2 linked regions of the Bombyx mori genome follow. The main gene of each other region encodes a partner of the protein of the gene in region 2 in a complex. Links are inferred from orthologs where the notes say so. Each region holds a gene or a part of one and is shown on either strand. Other genes may lie near its edges.

What was found.
Region 1: DNA replication licensing factor MCM4 (region 2) and probable DNA replication complex GINS protein PSF2 share a complex: the UniProt entries of both Homo sapiens proteins name them as parts of the CMG helicase complex. The link is inferred for Bombyx mori from reciprocal best matches to the Homo sapiens genes MCM4 and GINS2.

Annotation. Positions count from the first base shown.
Region 1 is NC_085116.1:1,524,617-1,528,839, reverse strand, and holds probable DNA replication complex GINS protein PSF2, read right to left. Parts: upstream 2,882-4,223; 5' UTR 2,349-2,881; coding exon 2,104-2,348; intron 1,663-2,103; coding exon 1,490-1,662; intron 1,217-1,489; coding exon 921-1,216; 3' UTR 457-920; coding exon of another isoform or gene 379-456; 3' UTR 258-378; downstream 1-257. UniProt on the Homo sapiens protein: Required for correct functioning of the GINS complex, a complex that plays an essential role in the initiation of DNA replication, and progression of DNA replication forks.
Region 2 is NC_085125.1:2,555,159-2,558,782, reverse strand, and holds part of DNA replication licensing factor MCM4, read right to left. Parts: intron 1,218-3,624; coding exon 1,107-1,217; intron 952-1,106; coding exon 788-951; intron 1-787. UniProt on the Homo sapiens protein: Acts as a component of the MCM2-7 complex (MCM complex) which is the replicative helicase essential for 'once per cell cycle' DNA replication initiation and elongation in eukaryotic cells.

The DNA.
Region 1 (4,223 bases), on a different chromosome or scaffold from region 2:
CGGTGGTAGATTCTGCGAAGCACTGCTTTTGTTAGGGCTGGTGTTAGCATATTTTTCCAGGTTGTGCCCATGAGCCCACCTAATGGTCCGCGCGTAGTTGAACAGCCCCGTAGGCTACCGAAGATTAGGCAGTGAAAAATAAAAACTGTTGAGATTTGAGGTTTCGGTCTAAAACAACAGGTTATCAAATGTTTAATATAATAAGATCAACTCTAAATGCATGCAATTTTAAATATCTAAAAAGAATAAAAACAAGGTTACAATAAGTGTTTTTAATGTTATTACCACTTTTTGATTGTTACCAACCACTTTGTTACAAAATCATTAAAAAGTATTAAGAACTTACTAAACTTAAACTACACTTAACTACACTTAAAACTATGTATTTTGAGAGCTCCCTGATTGACTGAAGGTTGAACTATTTAAATTGAGCGATGGTGCTGTCTTTTTCGTTTTCTGTAAAACAAAAAGTTGATTATTTGTTACAAAACTGTACTGCAAGTACATATAAGAATAATTGCACTCAGATCTTCAATTTTAAAGCCCACCCAAATAACCTTGCTAAGCATCTAACGGACAACCAAATGACAACAAGAAGACTGAAGAAGAGTGTCTTCAGATCTACTAGATCCAGTGTAGATTCACTGATATGGACATTGTGCGTGTACTGCCTATCAAATTATTTTTGTCAAAACTACAGTTGAAAGTCTAAAGACAGCTTACTGTAATTTACTCTATAAAACAAATAAAAAAATCTTCAATACCGAATTTAAGTTTAACAATGATATTGATAAGACCAGGTTTACAAACTCCAAATTACCGTAGTTACTAAACCTTAGGTTAGCTGAACTCACTGCACACTCACAGTTTTAGTTTTGGTAACACACATCATCATCACAACAATGTGATTTGCCCTTCTACTAGGACACGAGAGTGAAGTCTAGAACAGAAATCCAAGGATCCTTCAGAGTAGAATGCATAAATGTGTCACGTATAAGATGGTCCGAAGGATGGTACATACATTCAGAGATATTCGTAAAAAGGACAAAGTGGAGATGAAAATACAGAAGGATGTGTCTAAAGGAGAGTATATTACAATTTGTCACACATGTTCTTACCATTTGCATCCTTAAGAGGTTGTCCATAGCAGCAGGTAGAAGAGGTTTCACTGAGTTTATTTCCATCATTGTTAAATGATCTAATCTGCCATAGCCACCTGAAAATGTCAATTATAAATGTCCTGAATTTAACTTATGACTGAGTAAGTCACATTCTATATTTTTTTCTTATCTTAATTTAAGCATACCATTCTGGTGTTAAGTTGTTACCGAAGACCACATATCATCATTATAGGCTTTCTGATCCATGCAGGTTTACAATATCATCAGTTACAATAAAATAAAATATAAAATCCTCTCAATTCAAAAATCTTTAAAATGTAAGTTAAAAGTACTTAAAAGTAAAGTATTTTAAAGGAATCATTACAAACCTCCAGTTTTCATCAATGCATCCATTGATGTTCGTAACTTAGACATTCTTATATCCCAGATGTCTTTGATAATAGTCTTTATTTCTGGTGCATTGGGAACATCTTCGGCAGCTGAACCAAGTATCAGTTTGGCTTCCACCATATAGTGTTCATTTGGCATCTTTGTGAAGAATCTGGTAGTTTGATAATTTTAGGAAGATTTAATGTGAAAACTTTGACTACTACAACTACTTGCTTTATCTTGCTGATAATTCTCAAACGCCATTTAATGATAGATTTTATATTTACACACCCTTTCATGAGTACTGGCAAAGATATATTTATTGACCAATGAACTTCAAGTTTTTTAATCATGTTACAATTTGAGATTTATTAACAGGTAGACCACTAATAGTTATTGTTTAGTATCAGTGTTAGAATGGATGGCTCTAGAAGGTATTTATAACATAAACCATAATAATAAAATATACTTTTTGATTTAAAATTAAGACATGGAAGTTGTATAAACAAAATATTAAATTGTATCTGGAATAAACTGGACCACCTAGAAAGATCAAAGTTTTGAAACTGGTGTGTTTTGTAAAAAACCAAATTTATTAAATATATTGACAAACCTGGAACGCTTTTCCTCTTCTTTAATATTCTCCAAAACTTCCACGTCCATCCAGTCAGGAGGGATAACATGGCACTTTTGTTTCTGCTTTAGCATGATAGCCAGCCAGAGTGGTACGTTCACAGGTAAACCAGCACGAAACGGACCAAATTCACCGCATATCAAGTATATTTTATCATGGGTAAAGTTTGGTGTTATACTGATTATCCGATTCTCACCAATAAACTCGATTTCATAAGGTTCCATTATTATTTTTATGGTTTTAATAATTTATAATCATTTAATAATATACATATATTTAATTTAATTCATTTTGGTTAAAAATTTAGGAATATTACCTACCTTTATCATGTTTTTATTTATCATATTTTTTTAGGTATTTTATATTATGACCTGGTAACTAAGACTTTTAAGTCATGTCTTATTTTAATTTATACTCTTATTTTTATGAAAAATGATGAAATGAAATGAAGATAATTAATTTGAGACATTAATTAACTGGGATGAAATCAAATGAAATGAGATGAGATGATATGGGATGAACTATAATCTCAGTAAAATGGTGGTCATTTACTGAGATTTTTTCGTTGGACTTTTGGAGGATCCCGAGAAGTGACGTCCAGCGGCTTTGTTTCATTTTCCCACATTTTTGCACTTTCACAGATATTAAACAGTTAATAAACCACCATTATTACACATATAAACCCAAGAAACACTAAATAGACAAAATAAAACAAAACACACAACTTCACTCCTCGCGTTCCCGCCAAAAAGTCGCCTTATCTTTATCACTGATCTCAAACGTCATAGAGCGAGATTAGTAGACTTGCCAGCTAAAATCGGTACATTTGTACTATTTTGTACCCAAAATCGGTATTAGTCAAAAAATATACAATATTCAATCAAATGCGTTTATTTATTGAAAAAAAAACTTACATACTAATTTATAACAATCATATTTAAGAATAAATATTTTTTATACCAATATTGTTTGGCCATAGCTGCAGTCATCGTTGAATTAATTTCAAAATCATAGCAATTAGCTGTATTATAGAGTCGTTTTGCATGTAATAGACCAGTGATTGACTCAGTAGACAGCCTATTTCGCTGTTTTGTTTTCAAAAGAATAAATATGCGTTCAACGTTAGCGGATGAATAGGAAAGTGATAAAATATTAAGGATGAAATTAGACAACAAAGGAAACATTTGAGTTTCATCGCCACGTTTTAATAAAGTTACTTCTTCCCAAAATAGTTCTACATCATTAGGAAATGTTTTGATTTATTCACAATTTCTTAAAATGCGCTACTCTATCAATTTCCTGGAAATCATTGCTCTGAACAATATTGGGAAAGAGCCTACTTTTAAGTAGTATCGAAGTAGTCTTGCCAATTTTAACATGTTTTGGATCAATAATGTCTAAAAGTGTCAAATCGGTAGAAAAATCGGGAGAATTTCCATGTATACTCTGAAATCGTAGAAAAATCATTTTATTTCGGTATTTCAATAGATCAGTGCCCATATCGGTAGATATACCGAAAAATCGGTAGGTTCGAGACCACTGATATTTACTCTTGTTTATAGAGCTTAATTGTTTGACTTTGAAACTCAAATAGTAAGTGTTCTATGCTTTGACATACTGACATAGTGATGCAGATTTTTTGGCGGTAAGTGACCACCATTTTACTGAGATTATATTTCATCCCAGTTGATTAATGTCTCAAATTAATTATTTTCATTTCATTTCACTCCATATTATCATTTTTCATAAAACTATGAATATAAATTAAAATACGAAAATACGAAAAATGACCTAAAAGTCTTAGTTACCAGTTCATAAAATCCCTTAAAAAAAAGGAAAATTGGCGGGAATAACGTTTAAATAATACGACTTAGTAGATCGAATTTATGAAATAAGTTTCATAAATCCAGTGTTTTAAATAGCTGTATGAATGGCGATACTGGAAGTAGGTAATTAAGTTTTAATTTACATGTTTTCTTTAAATTTGCTTATTTAAGCGTCATCTATGCTACATTTAAATAACTGACATAGATGGTTTGTTTTCACTAAAGCTGGCGTAGTTCAGATGATTGAACTAGGTGGCACTAAAATAAAAAAAA
Region 2 (3,624 bases):
GTACATACCTGTCGGGATCCAATGATGCCCTACCACTATTATATTGGTATCCAGAATAGCATTATAAATGTTAGTGCAATTGTTTGTAATGACGGACATTATCAAGGAGGCCACAAACACCAGCGTCCCGGGCGCCATTAAGCAGGCCGAATGCAGGCATCATTGGAGGAAGCTGGTGCAAAAACTGGACCAAGGTGGTCACGACCCTCAGTAATGAGGAAACGACAAAGAAGAACAAGAATTGTTTGTTCTTCGTTCGTGTTGAAACACGGAAACAAATTTGTATTATTTATTTTGTAATCGTTTTAGGTTGGTTTATCCCAATAAACATCTCATTACAATGAGAAACTTTTTGTTGTTTTTAGAAAAAGTTACACGGCACTAGAAAAATTAATTGGCACTGAATCTTAAATACGCAAGCAAAGAGATGGCTAACAGCTAGTGTACTATAAGGATTATTGATTTAGGGAGTGTTCGGATACAAATGGTTTCACTTAATATTTTGGATTATATTGTGTAGTTTTAATTTTTTTTTCTTTTTATTGCTTAAATTCAAAATTTAATCAAAATCAACTATGTGGTTTAATTAAATTTAATATTTGTTATTTTCATTTTATTCTGACATTTCAAACATAAATAGTTTTTGTGGTCATAGACAATTACATTTCAACATTTTAATATTGTGCTAACCCCACTTCATCATTTTTTATCTGTGAAGTAGTTTGTTAGTAAGGCTGTTGCAGCATATTATGACAAATTTTTGTTTTTAATTTTTAAGTACACTTACTCTCCGTGTAGGTGTGGGTGCCGGTACATTGGGAGCTATATGGTGACCTCGGAGGTCAGCCCTCTGTCGTGCTGGGGTCATGATGCCTCTCATGAGCGAGCGAGGAGTGCTTAGAGAACTTGGAGTGCCGTAATTAAGAGGAGAGCTCATGTCTATATCTGTGCCTGGAAATTATTAATATAATAAAACTAGATTTATAGTTATAAATAACCTCATATCACAATGCATTAAAAAAAAAGGCATTTATGATTGTAGCATTACAAATTCAAAGTTACAGTAGGAAAAGCACTGTTTTCACAATATAAAAATTTCAATTTACCTATGGGACTGGATGCAAGAGCTCGAGCAGGTGATGTTCCTGGAGCTTCACGAGGTGTACGGGGTGTCCGAGATGGACCGGGAGCTGCTCGTGGTGTACTTGGAGTGCCATCTGTTCAATTTAACAACAAATTATAATTTGTTAAACTTTTCAAATGAAGTGTTAAAATTTGGAATTTGCAGGTTGCATATAGCTCAGGACCAGTTATTGCAAACTTAAAGGTATGCCTATATCTATCAGTGAAAGCCTAGGGGTTGGTGAAATTTAACTGTTGTAACCTTCTTTTCCATATTCCATTATTTGAAATATACTTCAAACACATTGTCATTTTTGCTACCTATCATTATTATATTTTTATGCTATGTCTTGAAAACATTGTTTTATTATATTGGCGACGAGTTAAAAGAAATTAAGATGAACGATGAACAATTCGCATTATTTTTACATGCACAACAAAACCAGCAAGAGCAGATTTTACAAATCTTGAAATTGTTGGTACCAGCAGTTTGCAATACAACAGCCAAGAGCGTGACGAACGACTCTTTTACAAAACATGATACGGATAACAAGATAAGTATAATCAAACATTTCAATATGGATAAATACAATCCAGATACATTCAGAATTGACGATTACATTGATTTTTTCGAAAACAAATGCAAAATTCTTGATATCGATAACAGCGACTTACAGAAAGATTTGCTTCTGAATTTACTAACACCAGAGATATTCCACGAATTAAAAGTAGCTTTAACGCCTGATTTCGATATAGCTACATACAGCGAAATTTGTAACAAATTATTAGACCTCTATCGCATAAAAACGACGAGGTATAGAGCCTTAACAGAATTTTGGAATTGCACTAGAGAACAAAATGAAACGATGGAACACTATGCAAACAGATTAAAAGGTCTTAGTCGGGATTGTGGCTACACTAATGACTTCCTGGAACGACAATTACGTGACCGCTTTGCCACTGGATTGAATCATCCAGATTTAGAAACCGACTTGAAACAAAAATGGCCTGATTTAGTTCAAATGGTAGACGGAATACCACGAGAAGTAACCTTCCAACAAATTTTTACAATCTCTCAATCAAGAGAACAGGCAGAACAAGACACACCAAGAACAAGTATTAAAAAAATAAATAGGAGCAAAACCAAAACCGTACCATTACATCAAAATACAACACGAAAATTAAATCCAATGCATTGTTTACGCTGTGGAAAGAAAGAACGGCACAGCCTATCACAGTGCTCAGCCAAGGACCATATGTGTAAAGAATGTAACACGAAAGCACACTTTGAGAGTTGTTGCATTAAGTCTGGACGGGCATACATCAGCTATTCAGAAGGGAGCCGAAAATCAATTAAAAAAAATAACAAGACCTCATAAATCCTCAACATCATCATCATCATCTATCAGTAATAACAAGGAAGAAAGCGATGATGAAGTTATCTGCAGCGTCTTGGGTACACGTAAGAGAGAATGCAAACAAATCGATGTACGCATCAATGACATACCTTGCACTATGGATTGGGACCCCGGCTCTGCGTATTCAATAATAAACACGACATTATGGAAAAAATTAGGATCACCATCTTTACAACCCGCCCCGAAACTTAAGGCCTACGGTAACACAAACTTAAAAACAAAGGGAATTACAAAAGTAACAGTCGAAGTCGACGGACTGCAAAAACTTCTACCTGTGGTCGTAATGAAAAATGCCAAACCAATGTTATTTGGTTTACATTGGAGTGAAGTTTTTGAAATGGAATTTCCGAAACCAGTATACTCCATCAAAACATCAACACCGATGACTCTTAAACAAATATTGGATAAACATGTACAACTCTTTGATGGAAAACTAGGAAAAGTTAACAATTATTACGTAAACATACATGTCAAACCAGAAGCTGAACCGATCCACCTTCCTGCACGGCCTATAAAATTCAGCATGAAAAAGAATATAGAAAGGGAGTTAGATCGTCTGATCTCAGAAGGGATAGTGGAAAAGGTAGATCCTAATATTACACCTATTGAATGGGCTACACCCACAGTTAACATTCTGAAATCTACAGGGGAAGTTAGGATATGTGGAGACTACAGAACTACACTTAATCCAGTACTTATTAAACACCTACACCCAGTTCCGATTTTCGATCAACTACGCCAAAATCTCGCAAACGGTAAATTATTTTCAAAAATAGACCTTAAAGACGCATACTTACAATTTGAAATAGCACCAGATTCGAAAAAGTACTTGACGTTGTCAACCCATAAAGGGTATTTCCAATACAATAGAATGCCTTTTGGAATATCGACTGCTCCTTCAATTTTTCAACATTTTCTGGATCAACTGCTAGGTGATATCACCAATGTAGCTGTATATTTTGACGACATAGCTATAGCAGGGAAAGATCTTTCAGAACATTTACAAACTTTATCTATTGTACTCGATCGCTTACAAAACGCTGGCCTAAAAGTTAACTTAAAGAAATGTAATTTCTTACAGAAT